2 linked regions of the Rhinolophus ferrumequinum genome follow. The protein of the gene in region 1 purifies or fractionates together with the protein of each later gene. This does not show direct contact. Links are inferred from orthologs where the notes say so. Each region holds a gene or a part of one and is shown on either strand. Other genes may lie near its edges.

What was found.
Region 2: the proteins of DICER1 (region 1) and PRKRA purify together in Homo sapiens (co-immunoprecipitation; 4 studies listed by BioGRID and IntAct, with this or other methods). This does not show direct contact. The link is inferred for Rhinolophus ferrumequinum from reciprocal best matches to the Homo sapiens genes DICER1 and PRKRA.

Annotation. Positions count from the first base shown.
Region 1 is NC_046289.1:8,183,730-8,198,671, reverse strand, and holds the start of DICER1 (endoribonuclease Dicer), read right to left. Parts: upstream 9,523-14,942; 5' UTR 9,504-9,522; intron 9,482-9,503; exon of another isoform or gene 9,343-9,481; intron 1-9,342. UniProt on the Homo sapiens protein: Double-stranded RNA (dsRNA) endoribonuclease playing a central role in short dsRNA-mediated post-transcriptional gene silencing.
Region 2 is NC_046291.1:47,474,732-47,489,673, reverse strand, and holds the start of PRKRA (interferon-inducible double-stranded RNA-dependent protein kinase activator A), read right to left. Parts: upstream 8,033-14,942; 5' UTR 7,767-8,032; coding exon 7,702-7,766; intron 7,395-7,701; exon of another isoform or gene 7,386-7,394; intron 7,163-7,385; coding exon 6,993-7,162; intron 3,524-6,992; coding exon 3,442-3,523; intron 2,399-3,441; exon of another isoform or gene 2,289-2,398; intron 1,335-2,288; coding exon 1,256-1,334; intron 225-1,255; coding exon 107-224; intron 1-106. Other genes in the region: PJVK (pejvakin), read left to right, coding at 9,926-10,136, 10,862-11,057, 11,584-11,725, 12,811-12,928, 14,413-14,511, 14,726-14,942. UniProt on the Homo sapiens protein: Activates EIF2AK2/PKR in the absence of double-stranded RNA (dsRNA), leading to phosphorylation of EIF2S1/EFI2-alpha and inhibition of translation and induction of apoptosis.

The sequences.
Region 1 (14,942 bases):
GTTCCTATACTGCGGGGAGAATCGTAAATGGAAGTATCTGCTGCAGCTGAATGCATACATAACCTGTATCCCAAGTACTTCCATACCTAAGTGTATACCCAACTGAAATATGTACACATACTCCCAAAAATATGCACCAGAATGTTCACAACCATATATTCCTAAAAGCCCAATGTCCACCAACAATGTAATACCAATGCTGACACGTCCATATAATAGAGAGCTAGATGATGTAACAAAATGTTAAGTGAAAGAAAACCAACACAAAAGCCCAACACAAAATCACACTGTATGATTTCCATTCTATAAAGTTAAAAATAAGAAAACCTACTTAAGTGATATGGTGATTACTCTTTTCGGGGTGGCTGGGAGGAAGCATTGAGAGGAGCTTATAAAATGCTGGGCAGGGTCTAGGTGGCAGAGGAGAATATAATACTGAATGTCAATTGAAAAAATAAAATAAAATACGGGGTATATTTGCTCCTTGAGCTGGGCACTGGTTACAGGTGTGCGCACTTTGTGTCTCAAGATTTATGCGCTATGCTGTACATGATGTGAATCTGATTTCATTTAAAGATTATTTTAAAAGAGAAGAAAACAATCCTTAGCACAACGTATAAAAATTCTTCATTTACCATTTACTCCCAGAGTCTCAAGAGGGGAAGGGAGAAATTTTACCTTTTTTGAGCCCCCATTATCTGGGGGCAGCCAGTTAGCTCAGTTGGTTAGAGCGTGGTGCTCTTAACAACAAGGTTGCCGGTTCGATCCCTGCATGGGCCACTGTGAGCTGCACCCTCCACAACTAGACTGAAACAACTACTTGACTTGGAGCTGATGGGTCCTGGAAAAACACACTCAAAAAGAAAAAAAAAAAGAAAAAAACAGAATTCACAGGGTGGCCGGTCAGCTCAGTTGGTTAGAGCGTGGTACTCTTAACACCAAGGTTGCCGGTTCAATCCCCACACGGGCCACTGTGAGCTGCGCCCTACTTAAAAAAATTCCATTATCCGGTTTAATATTTTTCTCACAACAACTCTAAGTATCAATTCCATTTTACAGAAATTTAAAATAACTTATCCAAAGCCATTTGACTAATAAATGGAAGAGGTGGAATTCTACTTAAAATTTTGTCTGACTTCAAACTTTTATTTCCACAACATGTAATAAATACACTCTGGTCTCAAAGGAGGTATCTATTTACACTGATCTGCCAGTCAAAATAAGCTGCACATCTGGATATGTTCCTTTTGATGTCACCAAGGGGTTGAAAAAGAGTGGACCCAATTCAGATTAACAGCAGCAAAACAGCTGAGTATTTTATTTTCAACTGAATCTCCATCTAAGTAAATACTGCTTTCACTGTAAAGCCTTAGCAACTGACGTGAGCTCTGTCCACTGACCTTTCTCTCGGGCTTTCTAGTCTAGGGACATAGGTGCTGAATAAACACACAGTAACTGCCTAATGTCTCACCATTTTTTCCAGGATTTTTATTCCACTCAGCAAAGACTTACCGCTTGATACAAACACTGCATAATGACTTCTTTCTCTAGTGAAAAGCACTACTTTAAGAGAGATTAGCATAAAGGGGGTTCAGACACAGTGAAACAAACTAGATAAATTAACAATGGAAACTACAATGTCCTGTATAACTTTGTCTTCACTCAATACAGACAACACAGTAAGCCTGCCGCCAGAGCATTTGCTGCTGAGGCAAGACACAGATTTCATACATGTTAACATGTATGTATGTGTGTGTGTTGTGTGAGTATACGTTTGTGTGCATGCTAAAGAAGCTTTAAGAAAATTATTTTCCTATTGTTGGCCAAAGAATGGACCCAACTTATATATGTAAAACAACTTCCAGAATTCCTCTAATGTTCAGAAATGGGAAAAGCTAGAGGTTTATAAAGATTCAGTGTAAAAACAATATTCTCCTTCAGAATTCTCTTATGTCAATGGAAACGTTTTACAAAAGTATCCAAAAAGGAAAGCACCATTTGGCAATGGCTTACTTCACATATTCTATTGAAGAAGGGTTGCAAACTAAAATCTATATATTACATAAGCAATAAAGAATTACTCCTTTTAAGATACTAATACAGTAGTATGTAGAAATCACAGCTTGCCTTAACTCCAGTTCAATTTACAAACTGCAGCATTGAAACACCTAATTTAGGTTGTTCTATTACTAGTTCATATATTTTTTATCAATAAAATCCTGTATTTTCCTTAAAACACCCAAAATTGTATTTGGTCAAAGATTAACAAACCACTTAATTATACAGAATGAAGATTTAGAAATTGGGTATTTTTTCGTCTGTTCAGTGTTTAGCTATACAAGACTGAAAAGGGCTAGGTAATCTCAGTACAGTGTTATACGTGAAATAAAAGCTTTCAAAATTAAAATCCGGGGTGCCTACTGGGCACCTTCCTTCTCATTAATAGTACCAGAGGCCTCTCAATGGGTTATTTGAGCTTCATCATTTTGACTTTGGACAGTTTGTCAGATTCTCAATTCATTAACAAACATTTACCAAGCTGTACCAGATGCAGAGATAGAGGATGAAAGACTCAATTGTCTGAAAGATTCTGCCATCCATTCAAGGAAAAATCTGCCTTCATCTACTTTTTAAGACTATTTCCCAGAGTTTTCACCTTACTTTTCCTGCTCAGAACATCTCACAATTCATCATGTACTGTCTTTTGGTCACTATACATACAAACTTGAATGCACAGCAAATGGCAGTCTCTCTTTTCCATGTCTCGTGTTTAGTTTAGATCCTCAGCTTGAAACGGAGAGGTCCCTGACTGATATGGGTGCTTCAAAGACTACACATTATAAGACAGCCTGAAGGCTCGTAAATATTCTCATTTTACTAGTGAGAAAATTAAAGCTAAGTCTAGAAAGGCCAAGGTGACCTTCCCTTAACACCTGGCTAGTTATTCAGAAGTAAAACTAAACCAGAACACAGGTTTCTTAACCACTCATTATTTTACACTGTTCATTCGGTTCCACCAATCATACGGAACTCATGCCTCAATTATCCGGCATTTTGCTGCTGTTCCTTAGTTAACCTATTACTTGTCTTTATCGGTGTAGATATAGCCTAAAAGTCAAGTATCTATGGATAGCGTTAGGGGGAGTCCCTGTACCTCCTGTAATTTTATACAGGATTATGAATATGTACATTTGGGGGGATAAGATTCATATCTTTCATCAAATCAGTAGTCTCCAGAGTAAAAACCACTGGCCCACAGCAAGTGCATCTGACACAGATAAAAAGTTCAGACTGGTTCAAAATAGAGACTCGAGGATGATGCCTTTATTCACACATAATAGAAGAATAACCTAATGGTATCTGGGGGAGTTAGCAATATCTAAGGCACCATTACACTTGGTATCACTAAAATAGTTGGACCAGTGGATCCAGTATAGAGAGAGAATCCCTGATATAGAAAACTAGTGTGTGGACTATTGCTCTCAAGGCCCTCTTTTCTTTTTCATCTCCCACTATAGATATATTCGACATACATCTCAGTAAGAATTCATGGGGAAATAATTGTGATATAATCTAATCACATTGAGACTCTAGCATGCATATTTAAATTAAAAATATCAGCCCAATTTTATCAAATGGTAGTTATGTGCCAGAATTAGGTTACGAGCTTAATAAACTATTTTTTTCCTCACAACTTCACGTAGGTACTAACTATTCTGACGCGTTTACCAGTGATGAAGCTGAGACTCAAAGGGGCTGCCACACACTCATGTTCCTCAGCTATAAGCTGGAGGGATGTGAATATGAACCCTGGTCTCTCTGACACCAAAGGCTTGTTCTGAAAGATCCCTATGGCGTTATAAGAAAATATTAATATTTAATTTTGCAAAGTTGAAAAAGCTTAAAATCCCACTATTTGAAGCTACCCAGGAGTGAAGGTCGTGCAGCAGGAGGCCTAAGCAGAGGAGAGGCCATTCAAGTCTTTGGGGCCATGATGCTCGTCTTGCCCTCCTAGGCTGTTGCCAATAAAAGGAAGACAGAAATGCTGGAATCTCAAAATATCAGAGAAGTCTGCTGCCTTTCTTTTCCCCTTCAAATAGGGTTATTGATCTAACTCCTTAACCAAAGAAGCTTTCTACATCATTTCAAGATCAGTTTTTAAATTGAAATCCTCCTCAAAAAATTTTAATTAAGATCCTCTCTTGATTTGCTGACATTTTCCACCCCCCAAAGAATTTCCAAATGTGTTTTTCAAATCCCTACTTTATTGCACACATTGAGCTGTCACCTAAGAAAGAACCACTCTCAGGGTTAGCCTGCTTCAACAATGAGAAAGCCTAAAATACCAGTAACAACACCCCAATTTTTATAGCCATTTTCATCTATGAAGTTCGTAACACTTGTCTTGGTCTGCAATGTTTGTAGGCACCTACCTAATCATTTGCCCATCGTATGGAGAAGAACCAGGCAGCATGATCTGTCCGAAATCAAAACAGTAACGATCTTTTTCAGAGCTTAACATACAAGCAATGTTATTCTCTATAAACCCGTGTTAGCTTCTAAGCACTTCAAAAATGAATATAGACTAACTTATTCACTCAACAAATCTGAGCACTTTCTGTATGCCAGGCACTGTTCTATTCTATCCTTACTCTTCTATAAACCGTAACACAGTCATTTAATGTCACTACAAGCTTCAAAAATCAAAACACTAAAACCAAAATTTAAGTCTTTCATGTTTTATTTCTAGTAAGTCTTACTGGCATCCTCAGACAATGTTTTCTTGTGGCATCTTTTAGTCACATATTTAGAATGCATAGAATCTTTACTTATTACAGGACAACCAACAACTCATCGACAATTTTAAATAACTAGGAAAGCCACTTTGTACTCGGAACTTATTTTAACAAAGGTCTTCCTACACGACTGAAAATTTCAATTTCATCAGCTCGACCTCAAAAATACAGGTGCCCCTCAAAAGACACAGCTCTGCTTATATGTGGATTTTTTTCAATAACCAGTACTGTTTTCTTCTATCCATGGTTGGGAGTCCGTGGATGGAGAGGGCTGACTCTATCTATACACTAACCTACACCATTTTATACAGGGACTTGAGCACCCACGGATTTTGGTATTCGTGGGGGCCCTGGAATGAATCCACCTCGGATAGCAAGGGGCAACCTAAGTTTTGGGGAGTCAAAAGGTATTAGATTTTTGACTGAGCGGGGGTCAGCACCCCTTAACCCCCACATTGTTAAAGGGTCAACTGCAATGCTTTCTCTCTGTACTCATTCACCAGATATATACCACCACCCAAGCAGTCTCACTTTTTAGGCCAACACACATTCCCAAAGACGAGCAGAGAGAATTTAGAAAAATCTAACTATCTATACTGTCCAGAAAAGAGATAATCTGTGAATGAATTGTCAATTGGCATCTGTCAAAAGCCTCAATGAGACAAATGATATTTCATTTGTCATCTGAAAGATAAATTAACTAAACTCTAATAAATCAAGTCACCAGAACAATGTCCACCTATGTTATTAAAGTTTTTCTATTATGCCTGAGGCTTTTATCTGGTTTCTCTACAATGGCATGTGAAAAATGTTTCTCTATCATTTGTAAAATGTAAAACATTTTCTTCATATATTGTTAATGTCATTTCATGTAAGAATTCAGACAACTATGTATTCTTCAGACAAAAGTCTGCCACTCCTGATTAATCGGTATACTTCCTCCCATGAATCAATGCCTACATGATTTGTACAGTTTCCTCTTTTGCTTTGACTAATAACTTAAAAATAAAAATAAAAAGCTTTAGTTACATGCAGATGGCTGAGCTATCCTTGCCCTAAGCTTCTCATTCCATTCCCTTCAGCCTCCTCCACTCAACCTTTACTATTTTCACAGTCCTCTCAAACACCTGTCTATTATTACAAGATCAAGGCAAATCCTTTCTCAAAGAAGACAAATAATAAAACGTATACATCCATTGGGCTTTCAGAATGAGCTAAACTCTTGAATGTCCAAAAAGCAGAGCACAAGGTGAACAAGATAAATCACTTGGCTCCATTACGATTTACACAAGTTAAACACGACCTTACCAGTACCTTCCTCCAGCATCCAAAAGAGCACGACACAGCTCTGTGATGGATCCACTGAAGGAATTCAGTGATTTGAATATCCACTTGCCAGACACTGATAGGAACATAAAAATGAGTCAATCCCGGGCCTCAAGGAGATTAAAGTCCTTTATTGACACAGAAGGAACCATTTGTAGGAAAGTGTACATAACTGTGTGAACAGCCCTGAGAAAACTCATATTGCAATAAATTCTGAGTCTAGTGCTCTGATGATCAAAAAACAATCTGACCACTTCTGGCCATGTACCCAAAAGTGAAAGCAGGGACTCAAACAGGTATTTGCACACTTAGGTTCACAGCAGCATTATTCACAAAGCCAAAAGGTGGAAGCAACCCAGGTGTTCACCTATGAAAGACTGGATAAATAAAATGTGGTTTATACATACACAATGAACTATTATTTGGCCTTAAAAAGGAAGGAAATCCTGGCACATGCTACAGCATGAATAAATCCTGAATGAATGACCCCTGAAGATGCTAAGTGAAACATGCCCAGTCACAAAAAGACCAATATTGTATAATTGCACTTATGCGAGGTTCCAAGAGCAGTCAGATTCACAGAAAGAAAAAGTAGAATGATGGTTGCCTGGGGCTGGGAGGAGGGCAAAAGGGAAGACTATGTTAATGGATACAGAGTTTCAGTTAAGGAAGAGAAGATGAAAAAGTTCTGGAGATGGATGGTGGTGATGGTTGCAAAACAACGTGTGTACTTAATTATCACAAAACTGTACACTTAAAAGTGGTTAAAATAATAAATGTCATGTATATTTTACCACAAAAAAGGGGGAAAATCTGAAATATTCAGAGAGAGATCACCTGAACATTTAAGGTTTCACAGTTTCATTCATTCAACAAGTGTTAACTAAGGACTTAACTACAGGTTATACAGGTTTTTCCCTGAAAATCCACTTGGGAACAGCAATGCTACTCAACAAAAAGAGCACACATGCAAGGATTCTGAAATCAAACCATGACAATCCGGGCTCTGCCACTTCTAGACTCATAACTTGAGGCAATTATCTCTGAGTCTTAGTTTCCTTGCATGTAAAATAAGGACAATATCTCGGCCACAATGAGGATTAAACGAGAATGTATATAAAAGCACCTGCAACATCTTGGCACATAAGGAGGCACTTCTTATTAATAAATGCTCCCCTTCTCTCCTTTGCCACAAGTAATGACCACAGGATGTTAAAGTCACAAGTGAGAGACTGTGCAATACCTACTTTCTCAAATGAAGCAAGCATCTCACATGTCAGACAGTGGCAGGGAATAAGTATCGCAATGCCATAAAAATCATCCTTCCTAGAAGGTGGCACTAGAAGGTGGCACTACACTTCAGGTACCACCCACTATGTAACACCACAAAATCACTATCAAATGAGATCATGAGCCACATCAAAATAAAACGTCTTCTAAAACCAAGACAATAAACTCAGCAATCACAAAGCAATCTCACTATGCAGTTCATACACGGGGCCACAAGCATTATACAGAAGGCAGAACTTAATTAATCTTTATTGATGAGACAGTAGAATAAAAAGTAGAGCAAGCCGTTACTAAAATAATTGCAGGAAGACTTTTCTCCCCAAATTAAATTTAACTAATACATCTTTTCATAAAACGGCATTTTGATGCCATGAATAAATCTGTAAGCCAACATTACCATTTAAATGCTTATTCCGTGACATATTAAAAGCAATCATTAGTGTTTCTAATCTACAAAGTTTTATAAAATATGGCCGAAGATGAAGTTTTGAAAATAACTGTGTGTATAGATATGGCATATATTACATCCAATACACTCGTGCCACAGGTAGCTAGTGTTAAAGACAACACTTGGCAAAATAAACTGATTATTCCAGAACCTAGTTCCTAAAGATATTAGCAATACTAAAGTTATTATTCACTAGCAGCCTCATTCAGAATCATGTACCATCATCCATGTAATAAATTATTGGATCTCTTGGTAAGATCGCTTTTTTTTTATTTAGAAAATTTAATGTTTATACCAATACAGTTCCACTTTAGTTAACCTTTTATTAAAACACATTGAAAATATATAATTTTCCAAGTTACTTAACTCCTTACTTCTGCCTTTTTCCAGTCACTGAGTTGCTGCACTTGAAAACTAAGCAACAAGAAGACAACTGAAAATCGTAACTGTAAAAATTCGGAAAATTCAAAGCACCTCAAGAAACACACACTTTAAAGTAATACCCTTTAATTGGATGAATGTTTTTAAACCGCGCTAGTCATAAGAACACTCAGACTTATACGGATCAGTAACGCCTCCCTTTTAAGCACGACTTTCTTCACAAAAGCACTGACTGAACACTATCCAGCGAGGATTCCCCACTCATCCCTGTTTTTGCAAATCTTCAGGCTGTTAAAGATACACTACGTGGTTTGTTAGCTCTGTATTGCGGGCAAAGCCATTGGGGCAGCTCAGCTTTTCCAGGTAATCTATATAAATCTGATGTGCTAACTTAAAACATACACTGATTTCCCAAAGATTAAAAACCCTTTGCAGGATCCAGACGTTCTGGCACAAAAACCTGGGAAGGGTGGAAAGATGGCCTCGGCCACCCGCCCCCTGGGACCCAGACCTGGTCACCTGCCAATAAACATGAACAATCCTCCCACTGCTCCCCGGGAGGGCCCCGAAGGCTCGCGCTTTCCAGCCAGCACGCGCAGCCCGGCTTCCTCCCCTCCCAGCTCTTTCCAAGGTGTCCACTGAGGCCCAGCGCAGTGGCCCCCACCACCGCAGGTCCCAGGATGCTCCCGAGACCCCGCTGCAGATCCCGCACCACTCCGTGCGCGTACCCGGACCTGTCAAACCCCTGGGGCAGGGCCAAGCGGTGAGGGCGCGCTCCCCTCCGCGTGCGGAGGCGCCCGCGTCCCCAGCCAGTGCCGGAGCGACCGCACAAAGTCCCTCCAAAGCGGCGAATCAGGAGCGGCGCCAGGGTCGGGGGAGGCGCAGAGCCCCGCGGGTGGACGCCGGCCCCGCAGGCCGCGCCGCCCGGGACCAGAAGAGGCCGCGCCATCTGCTCGCGCCGTCTCCGCCCCGCGGGCCAGGCCGGAGCGCGGGCCCAGGGCCGGGACGCCCACGCGGGCCCGGGCGCCGAGGCGGGCGCGGAGCCGGGCGGAGCCGCTCCCCGCCCCGGACACAAAGCGGCTCCGCGGGAGCCCGCCTCACCTGCAGCACGGGGCGCCGCGGGCCTTCGAGAACCATCGGACCCCGCTCCGACGCGCGCGTCACAGCCCAGGCCTCCCGGTGCTGCCCGGCGCCGCCGCCGCCGCCGCCATTTCCTCCCGCTCGCCGTCGCCTCGTCCCCGCTGTCAGGTTACTCCATTCACCTGGGCCTGGAGCAGCCTGTGCCGCGCCGCGCCTCCGCCTCGACCCCTCCCGCCGGCGCCTGCGGAGACTGCGCAGCGCCCGGCTCGTCCGCAGCCCGCGCACGGCCCGCGGCAACGGCGCACCGCGGCTTGGAGAATCCCACCGGCGCCCGCGCCGCCCCCTCCGCGCCCCCACGCTCCGCTCGTCCCGCACCGGCATGAGAGAGAGCCTGTGATTGGACAGAGTGTGGCGGTGAAAGGTTAATCCCGGCCCCCCAGCCACTCAGGAGCCAGGAGACAGCGGACGCGGCGGCGGAGGCCGAGGCGGCGTTTGCGGCCCAGCTTTTGGCCGGGACCCGGGCGTTCGACCGCCGCGGCCCCGCGCCTTTGCGACCCTCGTGGGCCTGCGCGCCGAGGTTGCGGACACTCGCTTAACTTGGCAGAACCTCTTGGCTCATGGAATTCGCCCGCCTCCATTGTTGCCCTTTCTGGCACCCACCGCCCTCTGAACGTGGCCCTGCCCCACAGCTGTAATTGTTCTCCGGAGGGCTCGGCGTCCGTTTTCCACTTCCCAACCCCTATTTCAAGGACCTTCCCACTTGCCTGCTTTTGCTCCGCATTAGTGGTGCGGGGCCCAACGCATTAGGCGAGACGACAGACCCCACCTCCTTCCCCACACCCCGGAGCTGGGATAACCAAATAACTGAGATGGGGACAGTGGCCCCACTTATGTAAATTGTTCATTTGCATAGGTTGCAACCGTGTACCATACCTCACAGCTGTGAATTAAAATATGGAGGCCAAGTAAGTGGCTGGCTTAAAGAAAATCCTATTCATTTATGCCAAAATGTAGACATCTCTTCCAGAGGACTCACCTGACAGGTTTACTCCAGAGGAGGTCTGGTAACAGCAACCATGCTTCTGCTCTCAGGAGTTAGCACTTAGCAGCACCTACTACGCGCTAGACACTGTCTAGGGCTGCACTCTTCAATACAGCGGCCACCAGCCTTACGTGGCTACTGAGCACTTAGAATATGGCCACTCTCTGCTGAGACGTGCTAGTCGAACTCAGATGTATGTGTTCTTTACCAGAAAAGAATGTAAAACATCTAATAATTATGTTGGTTACATGTCGTAGTGGTATTATTTTTAATGTATTGAAATAAATATCAGTTTCATCTTATTTTTTTAATGTGAGTGCCGAATGAATTTTAACGTTTCATGTGACTCGCGTTATATAATTTACTGTTGGACAGGCTGGTGTAAATAAGCCCGTGATCTTTACGTGGACCCTGTGAGGTAGGTGCTGTAATTGCTGCCCCCAACACACATACACACTATTAAAATGAAAACCTCCAGCAAGTAAACTAATAAATGAACAACTGAGATTTGAACCCAGGTATTCTGGCTTGGAGCTGATGTGCTCAGTCATTACTGTGCTCAAATTTTGATCATATATTTACTGTAAATTGGCTTGTAGGTTTCACTTAAACATAGAATGTTCATGGGTAAAATGAGGAAATAGTCAGAATGCTCTTGGCAGACTTCCATAGAAAATGTTTCTTATATTCCAAGCACAGTGGGAAATAGATCTCTCCAGTAGTATACAGAAAGGCTTTGGAGCCATAATCCTTCATGGGAGGATGGCATCTCAGGATGGGAACAGGTATGGGGGTCCACTAGCAATGGGAATTTGTGGGCAGGTTAACACTTTCAGGCCCTCCTGCTGTCCTCCCAATCTGTCAAAACTAGCTGGGCTTCTCCATCCACAGCTTTCTCTGATTTTCATCAAGTTAAACTTTTTTTTTAAATAAATAAGCACATATATACTATGTGGCTTGTCCATCAGAAACCATTAAAAAGTATACAGTAAAAATTATCTCTCCCCCGACACCTGTCCCCATGCCCAAACATGTAACCACTATTTTTTTGCTCCTTCTAGAGCAATTCTTTATGCATGTACAAGCCCAGGACGTTCCTCAATTTACAAAAATAGTGGTATGCCATACACATTTACTGTGCCTTGCTTTTTATTACATAATATATCAAGAAGATATGTGTATAGCAATATATACAGAGCTCCTTGCTTTTTTTTTTTTTTTTCCAATTCCCATAACATTTTATTGCAGGGCTATCCCATTATTTAACCAATTATCTATTGATGGACAGTTAGACTTCTAGTCTTTTGCAATTAAACATTGATCCACTTGGAACTGATTCCATACAAGGGATGTGGTATAGATCGAATTTTTTTTTTCCAGATGGCTACACAGTTTGCTATTTATTGGCCATTTGTTGAAGAGTTCACTTCTAGACTCTATTTTGTTCCCATGGTGTATCTATTCCTCCTCCAGTTGCTGGTTTATTTTAAATCTGGAGACATAAAATCTTGTAAGGGATAGTGTTTCATACTTTGTTTAGATCACTAGAAATCTTAGAGCTAATATTTCAGCCCATATTAAGCAGCAGTACAGTTCCATGTGGTATGCATTTTCTGTGGGCTAATTTTTATTTTCCCTTTGCCCTGATTATATTCCACAATTTGTTTCATTTTTTTTTTTTGGTAGAACAAGCCAGGATATAAATAAATATACCTTTGTTTAAGACTCTCTGTTTGCAAGTAACAAACCAATCTTAACCAAAAGGGAAGAATTTATCATAAGGATGTAGGAGTTTCTCACAAAAGCCAGGAGCAGAAATACAGCTGCATCATAGCTAGGGCCTACAACCAGTGATTGAAAAGCTTCCAGGAACCCGAAAGATAACTCTTCATGTCCTTCTGTGACATTTTTCCTTTGTTTTCTGCTTCATCTGTGCATCTCTCTCTACTAACTTCTTTTCTCTGCTTTACAACTAACACTGAAGAATACAGCCACCCCGTATTTATCTAGGAAGTCAGGCCAGTGTCGGGGTGTGAGCCCAGAAAGGGAAGGAAGGACAGCCATCCTGTAAAGTCAGGTGACTGATTATACAGGGGGGCTACACAAAGGAAAAACTATTGAGGATAATAGCAGCCAGCTTTCTCACTTTTGGAGAAGGGGTTACAAATACAAAAAGAAGAAAAGCAAGAAGGCTTGAGTGATTGGATGGGAATTGAGATGTCGATGTGAATTCAAGGTTTTTCAATATATATATATATATATATCTATTAAATAAATACAAATGTAAAAGTATCATATAGATGAGCTTAGAACATCTTGTGCCAGAGAGTATGAAAATGCTCAAAGAATGATGAAGACAATTCAAAGACAAAGCAGTCATCTTGAAGGGCCTCCTGCTGGCCAAATCTGAGACAACTTTTGAGCATCAAAATAAATTATGACAATACAATATATCCCATGCATATGGATATATCCATGAATCTACACTGATTTTTTTTAATGAATAAATAAATCGAAAGAAGAAACAGCTCTTCCTTTGAGTAGAATTCAACTGATAACTTTGGAAGGAATAATGGAATTGGAAAATCACCATTTGGCAATCATCAGCCAAGAAATATCAATGTTTACTAAATCTAGTGGGTAAAAGTTGGACAAGGAATGAGATAGTAATATAGTTTCAAAGCATCTCCCCATAAAATTATTATTTTAAAAAATGAGAACTTTACAAAAGAGAATCTAGCAGATACACCACCTTACTCAAGTATTCAAAGTTAACTGTCATGCAAGGAGTCACAGACAAACCCCCCAAGGCCACATGGTACATCTATAATGTGGGATTTATTGGGGGAAACTTACATGCAGAGAAGTGGGAGAATGAACACCGTCCCTTTAACTTTCATTATTACACAACATAGGCCAAGCACAGCTCTTGACCACGACCAAGGTTTCAGCAAGACAAGGCCTGCCTCTGCCAGCAACCAAGTAGGTGTACAACAGACAGAGACAGAGCCCAAGACAGAAGTGGGCCCCATCCCCACACTGCATTACATATTTATATGTTGGCCTAATTGGGGGTGGAGAATTTCTAGTTTCTCTAAATAACAAGAACTACGACAAGGGAACTGCTATGATGGCAGATGCATATGGATGGATATTGGGCCACAAAAGAAGGGGAGCCTAACAGTCCATGGGGGGTCAAAGAAGTTCTTCCTAAGTAAGGAACCCACGTAAGCTGAGACCTAAAGTGCTAGTGATCAAGTAAAGGGTAGGGGACTTCCACGCAGAAGGCCCAGGATGCCCAAAGCCCAGAGGCAAGGAGGTGTGGGGGCTCATTCAAAGAACTGAAAGAAACCCAGTGTTGACCCAACCATAGAGCAAGCGATAAGGAGACGGGGAAATGACACCAGAACGGAAAGAACTTATGTATCATGTTAAGGATTTGCTGTTTCATCTCAAAGACGAAGAAGCCATATAAAGGTTTTTAATCAACAGGTAATGTGATCAGATATACATTTTTAAAAGTGAACTCCAGCCCGTGAGGAAGAACAAAATTAAAGTGTTCATTTGCAACAGTGTAAAAGATAAGGTAGCTTTGACGAGGATAGTCAAGGGGAGAGAGATATAGCTGATTTAGATATATTAGGAGGGTAAAAATGTGACTCTTTTATAGTTCCAGTTTCAAGGCCACCAAGACTATTTTCTAGAAAGTAGAAGGTACAATTGGGGTAGAACATTGCCAGGGACCAGAGTTTTGCAATCTGACCAATGGGTCTTATTAAATGTAATTAAGATGAGGCGTCTTTACCGCGAGGCAAAACTTCTTTTGTTATTATTTTGCTCTGTAACAAAATATTAAAGCAGCTAACCATGAATCTTAATCTTCTCAAATAGCATTTTCAGTTAGAATAAAATGTAGAGAAAAAAAAAATACGCCAGTCAGGCACCTTCAGTACCGCTTTTACTGTCCCAGATTATATCACGCCTCTCTCAAGACTTGAGTAAAATTAACTCAATATTTCGTGGCATCTCTTTTTGGGGGGTGATTTTTAATTCAATCATGTTTTTTCCCCCTCACATCAGTACTGAATCCCTGAGGCTTGTTTAATTTAGAACTAAAGAACCCTGACCTTCAAACGATACGGTATTTTACAAGGGCAAGTTATCTAAAACGACTTTCTGCTTTTCCCAGTACTCTGACTAGCTCTCCTGTGGAGTTGCAGTATCCTTTCACTCCTACAGGGGAAAATAAAACAACAGAAAAGATTACAGCCATGTGGTGAGCGTATCAGTGTCACAGTATTTGACTGGTTTTTCCCCGCAATTGGAATAAAACAATTTCCCCGTACCTTAGCATCAGCTTTTTCATTTGGAAAAAGAGTGTAATCTTGATTTATATTGAATTGTTGCTCAGTAAACAACATTCAGGCAGCATTCCTACTTATGCTAAACAAATTTTTAAAGAAGCTTGGCAGTAACAAAACCAAGTTTGCCTACATATTTTTAAATGCAGTTAAACAGATCTGTAGACTTTTAAATTGGTTTTAAGTAGCTTTATTATCCATTTCTTCTCTCCTCACTA
Region 2 (14,942 bases), on another chromosome or scaffold:
AGGTTGCTACCCGAATCTGTCTCTCCCAGGCTGTAGTTCCTTTTGCTCAAATAAATGCTTTTAATTATGGTTTATAAATTATATGAAGGTAAAAAGAAATAAGTACCAGTTTCCATAAATGACTCTAGCCTGCAAATTGTGGTATATTCTCTGTTATGAGCAGGGCCTCCCTCCTGGGAAAGGGTATATTCAGGAAGTCTCCAGCCATGATGAATTGCCAATTCCTGGAAAATCAACATCAGGCTTTAGTAGTCATTTTACTATGCAATGGCTCAATCACATAAATGATACTCTTTCACAATTTTCATCCCACTTATATGTTTGAAAATTTAGTTATATATTCTGCAATGGAGAAATGAGGGAAGACGCTATATTTCCCACAGATACTTCTGCATTTTATCTTAGAAGCCCACAGTTACAAAACTGAAGAAGTCTCCTGCTATGAATGGTCGTCTTCCATTAAGCCATAGTGAGCTGGGATCAAAAAGTTCAAATGGAAAGATAAACTACTACTGCCCTCTTTGGAAACATCAGAGAGGGTATCTACAGGTGTCACTGCCATCAGTTCCTACAGCCTCTCCCCTCCTAGCTATAGACTTCCATACCCACAGCTGGCTGACTACTATATTTGATCAAGAGCAAGTGAGAAGCAGAGATGGCAAACAAACAGACCTGGACGAGGCTGAGAAAAGAAGAATTAAACTACAGAAAAACTCATAGAGCAGGAAAGCGTCCAAAGGACTGGTTGGATAACGGGGACAGGAGTTGTCCAACAGAGCACACGGATAATCGGCAAGGAGGATATTTTGCATACAGAAATTCAAAGCTGAATATGTATTTTTTGGTAGAATAAGCAAACAGACTTTCCTATTCCTTAATGAGATTACCCGATTTGGGTTCTTTATAAAGTCTTCTGTCTCAATAGAAGTAGATAGAGGTTTGTCACAAGAGTGGCAAGAAATATTCTTAAAGTATAAAAAACTCTACGCATGTGCACTGAGGTCCTGTTGATCTCAAATGAGAATTCCACAAACCAAAGGCAGATACTGTGTATGGAAGAAAATCCATAAATAAATAGGAAAATAATTTCAACTTAGCGCTATAATATCTAATGATCATAATGTAAAAAAACAAAATATTACACCATCTTATCTTTAAATACTAATTCCTTGTCTTGTCCCTGTGATATTATCAATTTATGACATCTTCTTTTCAGTAGACAAAATGCTAAGTAAGGAAAAACTGTGCGACTTACCTGTAATGAACCAATAGGATTAAGCTGGTTCTTTGGTTGCTTGGAAGGATCAGGCATCAAGGGGTCAGGAACTGCAAAGCTAAACATTTTTTTAAAGTGTTATAAAACCAAATAATTTTCCTCCAATTATGAAATAAATGACAAGCACTTTCTATTTAACCTTCTATGTCTTTGCTCTTGCTGTTCCTTCTACATGGAATGCCCTTCTCTCTCTCCTCTTCTATGAAAATCTGATCTATCCATCATCCAAGGTATATTTCAAATGCCACCTCCTCTAAAAAGCCTATCTATTTACCCCAATGGAACATAATTTCTCCCTTCTTTGAGCCATTATAACATCTGGTGTAACCCTTTCTTAAGCAAATTATTTTACCATAAATTATACATTCTTACAAATACATATAATTTGTCCATCCCTCATATGAGTCTCCTCTGCATAACTATAAATTCCTTGATGGTAGGACCTATGTATCACTTACCTTCATAAACCTTGTAGTACTTTTTTTATAATATGTGCTCAATAAAATGTATTTAAATAAAGCATACTATTGTTACAACTACACAAACATGGAAGACTAACAATTAGTCAGAAAATTTAGTCTAGCAATGTGAATAATATAGATCGGAAATATAGCTTTTTTTATTCAGATAATTATGGAAGAATTATCTCTATATCTATCTATCTGTCTAACTTTGATATATTATCTGCTCTATGCTAGGACAATCCTCCTAAGATGTATATGTAGCCTGCATAAAATAGGTGGCCTGCATGAATCTGGTTTCAGATTGTGGGGCTTGTGATTAGGGAAAAAGAGAACAATCTCTTTCAAGTAGTTTGAAATACTAGTTACTTGGGTGATGGGTGCCTGACACTGGAAGAGTGGCATTCCAAGGTTACTACCACCTAGGCAACTGAAGAACCATCTCTTTCATGACAAACGAGGTTCAGTTATTGCCACTTCCTCAAGTTTGTTTTCTAACTACCACAATTTCAAGCTTTACATAGGCTGATGAGATATGAATATTCACTTACAATGCTGCATGCCGAAGCTACCCAAATAATTGTGATGGAGAAGTGAGAAAGTCTCTGTATTAAATGAGGCCACTTTAGGCCTCATTACAGCTTAGTAATTCCCATCTTATCTGTCAAGAAGCACAAATATATAGTAAGTGGGTTAGCCTTTTTTGCTGACAAAATGAAGTGCCATGTATAGGTAGGACACTAGGTCATTTCTACAAATATACTTAACACTTTGGGTTGACCTTTGGGCTGCACAGAAATAGCATGGCCATCACCAATGAGGGGAAGATCCAATTCCTGCCATGCCATTTGGTATATCTAGAAAACTGGCATAAATCGACTACAATATATGACCCCAGAGAATTTAGCATCATTTTGTGAGATCCAAGGCTTACACTGGTTAGTTCTGAACTATTCAAATGGTTAGAATAATTTTGAAAAACAGAGGAGTACTGCATGAGAACCTAAATACATCCCTAAGTCAAATTTTGCTATGGCTAAAAAAAACCCATCCTAAATTTCCATGGGCCTCTGCTGTCAACTATGAGCTGATATACCAGATTTACCCAAGTATACTTGAGTACACGTAAAGAGAAGCAACTAGAAACCGAAGGACACTACCTTATGATACATGAGATGCTCCCGGGCCAATACTCTTTCCAAAGTAACTAAAGCACCAACAAAATTTATTTTGGAAAGATATGTCAAGAATTAACATCCCACTTAACACCCTCTTATATTTGGTATACATGCTATAATAAAAGGAAATCTTTTTGTCTCCTTCCAAATTAGAATTCCTCACAGGGTACTTTCATCGCTAATCTTTTCCCATCTCACACCTTGCTTTCCTCAGTGTGGAAATAATTAAAGTCTTAATACAGTAAGATATTTGCCAGGCAAACTCTGGTTTTCTCCTGTTGCACGCCATCCAGGAAAAACAACAACACCTAGTTCAAGAGAGCATTCATTCAACACTTCATACTGTATTTAATTTCTTAAGGATACAGTTGTCCTTAATGGATAACAGGTTTCCACAAGGAAATAGAATGTTAGAGCAAACACTAACAACTGTTCACTCTGTTCCACTTGCGAGCATATTCAAACTTTTAATCTTACCTCAGCCATGATAATTTTGAGCTGCAGAATACAAAGAAATTGAGCTCACCAAATACTTGCATTGGCTTTCAAAATGTTTATGGCAGCCTCTGCAGCTCTATGTTTCGCCAGCTTCTTACTTGTACCTTCACCTGAATTATGGTTAACAACAAAAAAGTATATGCTGTGAAAACTGAGTTTTGCATAGATGTTTTCATAATACAAAACAAAGTCACTATACGTTTTACATATACACATTAGGTAATAAAAACATACACATAACATACAGTTACACACTAAAATATTAACCACATGAAATACATTAAAAAAAAATCATGACTTTTCAAGTTCTATGTATTTAATTCTAGGCATATCTGTATAAAAAATTGACATCATGTTTACATTATGTCTATTTATTACCTAAAATGGTAAAAAAGTAGGCTGTCACACCTGAAGAAATGCAATTTAGTATTTTACTCTTCCCCTATTCACAGGGAGAAATTCTTCTGTGGCAAGAAGTTTCCTTCAAGGGAGCCACCTACACTGAAAGATGCACAGTTGTATTCTAACAGCTTGTCCTAGACTGGATTAAACCCCCTTGCCTGGCAAAGCAGTTGTGGCTACATGTTAGGTTTAGTAAGGGAGGTTAGTTAGGTTTATATAGGAAGAAAGTGAGAGCTTACGTTATGCGTCTTCTATACAATCTGTATCCTTACATGGGTAGCTAATGGGGAGACAAGGAATAGGCCTGACTAATCACTGAGACCGATGCCAAATTTCAGTAAGCAATCACACCTAGTAAATGGTAAATTCAGTCTTTTTCCTTCTGTGTTCAAACTAGGTGTTGAGAACCCCTCGAAAGTGGTATCAGAATGCTCATGTCCATTCCTCTGGTGTGGAGGAAACAAAGGGGACCTTTCAAGTGTGATCCTCAAGTGTTAGAGGACACAAAACCGTACTCATTTATCCGCTAACACAGGTATTAGGAATAGAGTGGAGAACTAAACAAGAGTCCCTGCCCTTAGTATTTTGTCTATAAATAGGCCTTTGAAATGTGGAGTGGTATGTGTAATGACAGGCTCAAGTGCAGCCTGTAGGGGAGTATACAAATGGGGCAGCTCGTCTATTCTTGGTAAAGATTCAGAAAGGTTTCATGAAGGAAGAGATTAACTAAATGAAGACCTGAAAGATTAGTGAAAGCTAGTAATGTGAAGAAAGCTGGGGGTTACGAAGAACATTCTAGGCAAAGAAAAGAACACCAGCAAAGGCTCAAAGGTAACACAGAGCATGGAGTTCTTAAGAGCCCCAAGTAGTTGGGTACCGGAAGAGCTTGAGGGAAGGAATTTTGAGATAAAAAACTAGAGAGTTGGAGGGTAGGGAGAGAGGTCAGAGAACAGTGTCCTAAATTTGTCTTATCAAACTTTAATGTGCATAGGAATTGCCTGTAAATTTTGTTAAAACACATACTCTGATCCATTATGTCTGGAATGGAGCCTGATATTCTGCATTTCCATCAAGTGTCCAGGTGATATTAATGCTGCTGCTGATCACATTTTGAGCAGCAAGGTTGTAAGTCGTGTTAAGAAACCTGTATTTATCTGTATTTATGCAGAGGGTTATGGGGAAACCACTGAATGAATTTTAGGAAGAGGAAGTACATGAACAGATTTGAATGCCACAAAGAACACTCCGGTGGTCGTGCAGAGAATGGGCATCACAGGACTAAAAGCTGAAAGAACAGCTACATGACTGTAACTGTAATCCAAGTGGAAGATGACAGTGGCCCAAACAGAAGACGAGACAAGCAGACAGATTCAAGAGATATTTAGGAAGTAAGATTTGGAACAGACTGGACAAGAGGCAGAGGGAGAGGAAGGAGTCAAGAAGATGAGACCCAAATTTCTACTCTGAGCAAATGGATACTGGTGGTGTCTTTACTGAGCTTGGAAAGCAGGGGAAATGGATTTGAGAGAGAAGATGGATTCAGTTGGAGTCAACGAGACTGAGGTGTCTTTGGGTCATCCAAGCAAAGATGTCCAGCAAACAAAGGCTGCTACACTGTTCTGCACCTGGGCCCGGGCTGAAGACAGAGAGTTCAGAATTATCAGTCTTTAGATAGTATTTGAAGCTGTGGAGGCAGATAAGCTTGTACAGGAAGATGGGGCAGTCCAGGGTGAGCAGAGTAGGGGCCTCGGCAGAATGGTTGCCATAGGTTGTCAATCTCTAGTCTGTAAAACATTGAAGGGTAAAAGGCTAGTTTTTCTTGAATTTTCACTGAATATTTAAAAATAGACCAGCTAGGGGCGGCCAGATGGCTCAGTTGGTTAGAGCACAAGCTCTGAACAAAAGGGTTGCCGGTTCAATTCCCACATGAGTCAGTGAGCTGCGCCCTCCACAACTAGACTGAAGACATCAAGCTGCTACTGAGCTTCTGGAGGGGCGGTCGGTTAGAATGGAAGCTCTGAATAACAAGGTTGCCAGTTCAATTCCCACATGGGATGGTGAGCTGTATCCCCTGTGACTAAAGATTGAAAACGGTGCCTGGACTTAGAGCTGAGCTGCGCCCTCCACAACTAGACTGAAAGACAATGACTTGGAACTGATGGGCCCTGGAGAAACACACTGTTCCCTAATAGTCCCCAATAAAATTTATCAAAAATATAAATAGTCCAATTAAAGCAGTAATGCAATGTTGATTCTATGGTTCATATAGGGAATCTTCCAACTAGCATTTCCAATCCACTTGCCTTACACAGACAAAAAGCTTCAAAATTTTCTGTTAAGTGGCTTCAATGAAAATAGCAAACTCCAGATTTTCAGGGATACAAACAAATGATGCCTTCAGATTGCCAGATGGTGGGACTTCAGTATTCCTGCTGAATTTTTTTGACATTCTTCCAAATTAAATTCAGCATTCAATATTTTTTGTTTGAAATTACATAGGTACCTAAGAAATAAAATGTCTACATTTACAAATGGGCTTTAATTATGAAACTCACAGACCATAACCAGGTGAATCTGCATTCTGAAACTTCGTTACTGTGATGTTGGGCGTGTTACTTATATCTCTCTGAACCTGTCATATATAAAAATGGAGGTAACAGCTTATTAAAATACCTGTGTAGTGTCAGGAAATACTGCTATGCAATATAGTGTATCCAAGCCTTTCACCTTCCTCATTCTGCTTGGATACAGAATTGGGTGTGGTATAATGGGTCCAACGCAGCAAATGAGTCCATACACAAAGAAGAGAGGCTCAGAAAATTCTGGGGTCATGCCTCCTGGCATCTACTATACTCTACGAAACTATAAAACTTGACAGCACCTACTGATCTAGCTATGGCTGCTTCAAGAATCTTTCCTGCTTCTCCCTAATTCTTGGAAAAACCCTAGGAGGATCCCAGGATATGTTAATGAGCTTCTCTTGGTATCTGGGGATGAGAAAACTAGGGAGAAAAATCAGATGAAGTTGGAAAGTCCCAATAACCTGAGATGAGGTCTCAGTTTCAAGAACCTGTTCCTCATAGCTGTCTCTAGTAAAAAGGGCACTTTTCTAAACTGATGCTGCCAAATCTTGACCGCCAACCTGCATGGTCCATAAGGTTAACTGTGCATACAGACCTGTGCAGGTTATGTCACCAACGGTAACTCTGAAGGTGAAAGTGGGCGCGTGTATTTGCACATCGGATCTTTCACATTCATAAACCGGGATGTTCTTAGTCTTCATGCCGTATTCGTGTAATACCTGAATCGGTGTTTTCCCTGGCTTAGCTGTAATCATCTTCCCCAAACTGCAAAAACCAGAAAAAGGTGTGCTGTGCATATCAAAACCGGGAGGGAAGCAGAAGCATAGAGACCAGTTCTGTCTGACCGCCACCAACGGTGACGGGAGAAAGCGCCGAAGCTCCCGGCGGCCAGGACCGGAGCTGGCGAGGCGCACCATCTCCCGGACCCGCAGCGGCCGGCATGAGGCACGCGCTGGCAGGGTTGAGGGAGGTCTTTAAGGAGGTAACTTGAATGCAGGTAGGACGGATTCGTAGACTAATAGAAGTGCTGCAACCTCAAACGACTAAACCCACAAATCCCATTTCCCAAGAGGCCCAGTGTCATCTCCGCCCACGCCGCCCGCCACCCCAGGACGCAAAAGGGGCGGGGCCGGGCCGCAGACCCAGCCCGCGCGCCGCGGGTCTGCCCGCAGCCTCCCAGGCGGGCTTTACCAGAAAGGGGCTTTACCCAGAATGCCGCTCGAGAGCCGCTGCCCCGCCCCCGCCCCTCTTGCCCAGCCACTCTGTCCCTTGCTCGGCTCGGCCCGGAATTCTCCGGCGCTGACCTGAAGGTCCCGCTGTCCTCGTGCTCCAGCGGCAGGGCCGCGGCGCGATCCCTGCTCTGGGACATGGCGAGAAGGGACGGCTCGACGGCGGAAGAACAGTGCGCAGTGACGTTCTCGCTCCCCGGGTCCGCCGGTCCCGGAGAGGGGCACTCCAGCGCCACCGCCGCCGCCTTCTCCCTTCCGATTCTCCCTTTCCAGCTCCCCTTATCCTCCCTGCTTACGTCCCTCTGGCGAAAGGGACGGGCGGGGGCGGAGGCGGAGCCTCCGTGCGGCAGCTCGGGCCGGGGCTCCCGGCTACGCCCCCTCGCTCTCCTGGCTACCTGCCTGTCTCCCTGCCCGGCCCCGCCCACTGGCATCCGGAGGCCTCGGCGCCTGGCCCCGCCCCTTCTCCCCGCCCTGGCTTTCCTCTGCTTCAGCGGGTTCCCATCCTGTGGCCTCCGTGTGTTTCGGCACCCTGTTCTCCGGCCTGGTCGAAGCCGCAATTGTGTCTTTAAAAGGAGGCCGTTTCCTGCCTGGAGAGGAGGCTTGTCGGGCGGGAAGGCTCGCAGATTCTGTGGGGCCCGAAGCCCAGTCATTTTTGGGCCGGAGGAAAGGATGAGGGCTGCGTCACTTTAAGAAAAAGATTTCAAAATTCCAAATGCAAAATTTATAGAGTGCATCCCGGGGCCTGGCCGGGAAGCTTGAGACTCTGGGTATATCAGCTCCTGAGGGCTGCGCTGAGCTTTTCCGGCCCCCGAGACCTGCCCTTAAGAGCTCGCAGGGACGTCGGGCTACACCCCTCCTCTACCTCCCCGTGGGCTCCATTGTCTTCTAGACTTTCATCGCTAAGTGAATGCTGGGCGCGCAGATCCCAGCTAGGCCTGTTACGTGTAAACTACGGCTTTTCAATGGGCCGGATTCCTATTAAATGCTGTTTCTGCACACCTGTGGTATTGGTTGTAATCGGGTTTGCTTAGGATGCGTCACCTTTGGTGGGGGGGGTCCGACAGCGAAATTAGATGTCCAGTGGCTTTTCTAGGGGTTTGCAGCCACTTGCAGAAATGGCTCTGTGTGTCTTCTCGGTGTTCTAGAAGATTGCTTTTCATAATCCTATTCGCACCGAGAGACTACTCAAAACTGTTCTTTGAGGTTGCATGCGAGTATATTTGATTGCAGATTTAAAAAATGTCCAGAATCTAATCAAATTGGTTATATTATTTGAGGCTTGAATTACACCTATTCTTTCTTCCCCAACCCCCTCTTTATAGTATCAGTTACTGTCCACTAATGTTATTTGTTTTGAGTAATTTGTGAGCACCACATAGCCACTATTTCAAAATACAACATCCACATAACTGTGGCAATACAATATTTCAGCCCTCAGATTTGTTTCTAAAATGTATTTTTAGCCACAAAATTCCTTTGAAACAAGCCAAAATCTTATGTAGCTATCTTTAAAGGTTGAGTAACTGGAATGAGAATAATGAAACAAAAAGGAAATAAATGAAGCAGGACCCTCTTTCAAAGAGATGTCTTCGTGCCAGCTCCTGAGTAAGAAACCCATACATCTGAGTTTATACAGTTATTGTATGCAATGTGGCTTCCATTTAGTATTTTATAAAGATATTTTTTATAAAGCATACAATTGTTTGCTTATAATCTGTGAATTTACTTTTTATATTAATTACTTCATTTTGCAAGCATACAAGGAAAATGAATGGAATGCTCAAACAAACTATACCATCAGGATTCAAAGCAGCACTTCTCTGTTGCCAAAATTGGCATAATAGACAGGGAATTCCCTATGGACTAGGTCCTCTGTAGCTGGTGCCCAGCGGTAATGTTAGTGTCTAAACTGCATAGTTTTTCCCATAAGGCTGTGTGTGTCCCTCAAAACTGGCAAGCCACTACTAACCTTGACCCTCTTTAAGGACATTGGTAGTATTTTAAAATTACTAGTTTTCTGGGTATATTTTAGTGCTATAGACTGCAATTCCAAATTAGACTTACTTTTAGTATATCATTTTACACTGTTAATCTATAATTCAACACCTGAGCACACCAAGGGAGGCAGTGTTGTGAACTGTGCTCTGTAAACTACTTGGTGAAACCGTGCTTTGTAGTTTTAATATATATAATTGTATTTAAAATCCAGCAAGACTTAGTTTTGTGCCTGATTTTCTTTGACAATATGGATTTTTTTATCCGAGGGTTGCAGTTGATCGCCTTTTGATACCATATTAATATGTTTGTTGCTGCTACCAAGAGCTTTGTCAAGCAAGTTGGAGATGGAGGGAGATTAGTTCCGGTACCAAGCCTCAGTGAGGCTGACAAATACCAACCTCTAAGTCTGGTGGTAAAAAAGAAACGATGCTTTCTGTTTCCCAGATATAAATTTACCTCGACACCTTTTACATTGAAAGATATTCTTCTAGGAGACAGAGAAATTTCAGCTGGTAAGTTTTAGTGTCTGTTTGGGTCTGCTCATTCAGCTATATTATTGGTAATCTAAACATAGATTATATATACTGCTTATGTTCATAATTACACATTTTCATTGATAAAAGCAACTTTTATTGCTATGGCAGTAATAACATGATTAATAGTGCTTAAAGTTTATAATAGTAGCAAGTCTCATTGCTCAAATAATTTTCAAGCCTATTTTATAAGATTATTTATTGTATAATTTTATTTCAATTATTTTATAAAATTGTTTTTAACCAAATCAATTTAGAATATGACATAATAAATATTTCTTCACCTATAAAATGGGGCTATTATTACGTCTTACTTATCTCACAGGGTCAAATGAGATGAAGGTAATTTGTATTTTTTATGATTCAGTTATTACAGTTGGTAAACTAAAATATGTTAAATACATTACAGGCCAGATTAGAAAATAAATTGACATTTTGACAAATTATTTCTTACCAACACTTGTTTTTCTTTGAACGACCCAGGAGATCTTGATGCTTCAGAAGTTCTGTAGAATTTGAGTTCATTTAAGTACTCTATTTCTTCTTGTCTAATTAATTGAATTGCTATTTTTAATCTTGGTTTGAAACATTGCCTTTCTCAAAATTTGGGTCATTGAGCCTTAAATAATTAACATGTTACCACATGTAATCTAAATTAGACAAATTCGAGACATTTGAAAAATATTAATTTTCTTGTTTTAAAGGTGTTTCATCTTATCAGTTACTGAATTATGAGGATGAATCAGATGTTTCACTCTATGGAAGACGAGGCAACCATATTGTGAATGATGTTGGGATTAATGTTACTGGATCAGATTCTGTGGCAGTAAAAGCGTCATTTGGTGTAGTAACCAAACATGAGGTGGAAGTATCAACATTACTCAAGGAAATTACTACACGGTCAGTATAATAATCCTTACTATACTTCAGTGTTTTCATTAAATATTTTAATTATATAAACTTCATTATAAAGAATGAGTAAAACACTCAGGTTATATTTTACTAATGTAATTTTTTATTTGAAATAATACAAATTAGTAATATACCCTAACTTTGGATAAGGGTAGATATCCAAAATCATTTGGTTCAAAAAGAATTTTTAATTGTGCCACAAAATTGCTTTGGATCTACACATATTTGCAAAATTATTAGATTAAAAGAATACAGGAATCTGCTTGCAACAAGTGTGCCAAGAGAGCCTCTCCAGTAGACACCTATAGTAAGCATGTCTTAAGAAAATAGAAAGGAGAAGCAGATTATTAAATTTCTTTTGAGCATACTTCCTGGCTTGTAAATCAAGCCTGTCTTGATTTACTTTTAGTTAAGGTGGACCGTGGATGAGAAACACATGATAGCGAAAAATGTACTGGATTATATGTAATCAGATGTTACAGATTCTTGTGAATGTCTCTCTTGTTTATTTTAGAAAAATTAATTTTGACCACAGCTTGATACGTCAGGCAAGGAGCAGCAGAAAGGCAGTCTTGTGTGTGGTCATGGAAAGCATTCGAACCACACGACAGTGCTCACTGTCTGTGCACGCTGGAATTCGTGGGGAAGCCATGCGGGTAAAACCACACTCACTAGGCTTCTCTTGCTAAAAAGCTGCAATGGGAATTTTCAAAAATTTCTAATGAGATTTATGCATTTTGTCAAATGTTGAGATTAAATAGCTGCAATGGTATATATAGGATTTTGCACAGTAATGTTTTGTCTTAGAATGTGAAAAAAAATCAAGAAAATTTTGATTCTAAACATGTGTAATATAATGCAAACAAAACTCTAATCCTCGTGAAATAACGTGCATACTGCAGTCCCTCCTATTACTACTTAAATGCTGTTTTGAGAATAAAAATTAGATGCTTATGTTGAATTATTTGATGTTATTTTTAAGTGATGTAGTTGATACTTGAATTTTTAAAAGCTGAATTTACATTTTTATATTAATTTTTTCTAAAATAATATTGTCAATGGCTAAACATGCTTCATTCAATGTTAAATCTTTTTAAAAATCTTGAAAGTAATTTGTGTGTAATCATTAGTTCAATTACAATATTCGTCCTTTTGTCATTCACATAATAATGATGCATAATAATAATGACTTGATTGGTTTCATTAAAATCAATTTTCAGAACGATAGGGTTCAATGATAATCTTTTCAAGTCTTTGCAAATAAAGGTTCTGTTCATTTAGCCGCCCACCAAATTAACATTGGATCATTTGGGCAGGTACTGAAACATTTACTTGTTGGTGATTGCTTTGCAAAGCTCCTGAAAGCGCTGGAGACTTTGGAACAGTAGATAGGGTAGGCTAAAAAAAGCTGTAGAACTTAAATGCACTTGGTTTGCAATTGAAAGAAAAGGTTTTCTATACCAGAGATCATTACTGTTGTGTTAGCACTAATCATTGGCTTTAATATTGAAGTAAGTGAGAAAGTGGTGAGTGGTATTTCCTAATACAGGTCACGAGTTCCCATTGGACCATTTGGACCTATGCTATAAAGTTTATTTCAGTTAGGATCATTCTTTAGTTGGAGAGGTGTTTTTTGTTTTTTTTGAGTAGGATTGTAGGATGTTTTGTTTCTCCAAAAAGCTATCATTTCATGTTATGATCCTTAATAATGTTATATAATTTATTTATTTATTTAATATAGTTTCATTTTATGGATGAACAGAATTCCAGGGGAAGGGACAAAGCTATTGTTTTTCCAGCACACACAACCATAGCTTTCAGTGTTTTTGAACTCTTCATTTACTTGGATGGTGCTTTTGGTGAGTGAATGATTTTCATGAAACACTGAATTGATTATATTTTAAGAAGAATTTAATAGGAATCTCTCTCTCTCTCTTTCTCTCTCTCATTATAGAATAATGATGCTCTCAGAGTACTGTCAATCTTATGCTTGGGTGAAATAGCTGGGAAAGATCCTCCAGTCCCTACTTACCCAATACCTCTTTCCGGCTTCTTGGTAGAGGGAGGCTATAGACTCCCCACCACCCCACTTAAAATTATAGATGAGAGCTAAAATGCAATCCACTGACAAAGCATTCCTTGACTTACGTGGGGAGATAATAAATGACCTTCTAACTGGTAATTTTTCATGATGGCAAACAGAGGAGAAAGTAGACAGTAAGATGCCTTAAAGTGTCAGGATGCCCAAACTAGGCTACCTGAAGATAACTTTCCTTCAGTTTTACCTGTCATAGATCCAGCTTTCCCCTCAATTTGCCCTGAAAAATAACTTTAAAAGTTATTTACATATACATATATACATATACATATATGTATACATATTGTATATACATATACATATTTAGGGGAAAATAAATTTTCCCCTAAAATTATCACCTTATATAATACCCCAGGGCAGCTCACTTTAGATTTCTACATTTCACGGTTCTTTAAGATTAGGAGGCTAGACAGCTCAAGTCTAAGTGTAGCCTAAAGGATGAGGCAAGCAAGCCCCCTAGCCATGGTAATTTATAAACAATTTTAGACAGTTTTTGTTTGTTTCTGCAGTTCTGTGGGGAAATAGGGAGTCCAGAAACAAAATAAAACATGAAAATTTAATTCTATTTGGGATACTTTAGGTGTAGGTTTTTACAATTATATTATTAGGAGGAGTACAAACAGATAGAACTGTTATATCCATCAGAATTTTAAATTTGCATATACTTTAGCCTTACTTACACTTTTAGGACTTTATCCTACAGATATACATATGTGAAATTTTATGGGTATAAGGATATTCAGTTTGTAATAGCAAGAGATTGGAGCTAACCTTACAATCTATTATCAGCAACTAGTTAAGTAATGTTGCATCCATAGACTACTATGAAGCCATTAAGATTCAAGAATGAGGTAGCACTATACATCCTGACATGGATTAATCTCTTAAGAAATAGTTGAAAGAAATGTGTGTAGTATGTAACTTTTTGAGCCTGAAGAATATATATATATACACACACACATATATGCATGTAAAATATGTGGAATATTTCTGGAAGTATGCACAAGAAACTTAACAGTGGTTACCTCTGGGGTGGAAAACTGAGGCTAGAATCAATGTAGACTAGACTTGTCACTTTTTGTACTCTTTGAATTTTGTACCATATGAATGTTGCCTTTCTAAAAACATATAAAATTTAACTTAAAAAATACGATGTCAGGTACCAGAATTCATCAACCAGAGTCACATCAACTGTAAAAATATGAGTTGTTCAAGTCATAACATCTTCTACATTTTTTTTTATAGACCTTTGTGTCACTTCAGTGACAAAAGGAGGATTTGAAAGGGAAGAAACAGCAACGTTTGCAGCGCTCTACAGATTGAGAAATATACTATTTGAAAGAAGTATGTCCATTGAAGAGTATTTCAAATGTATTTTTTTCTCTTCTCGGATGAACACCTGAGGTCGTCTATTCAGTAATTCTGTCTGTTAAAGATGAATTTAAATTTAAAAGCCAAATCATTTCATGACTGATGGTTTAGATTCATGTATTTATAAATGCAGTTATATGGTTTTTGTCTGTCTTCTGAACACGTTTCTCTGTTTTTGTCCTTTTAGATAGAAGAGTGATGGACGTCATTTCTCGTTCACAGCTTTACTTAGATGATCTTTTTTCTGACTACTATGACAAACCTTTCAGCATGACTGATATTTCACTCAAAGAAGGGACTCATATCCGAGTTAACTTACTTAATCACAACATTCCAAAAGGACCTTGCATACTCTGTGGGATGGGGAACTTAAAAAGGGAGACGGTTTATGGGTGCTTTCAGTG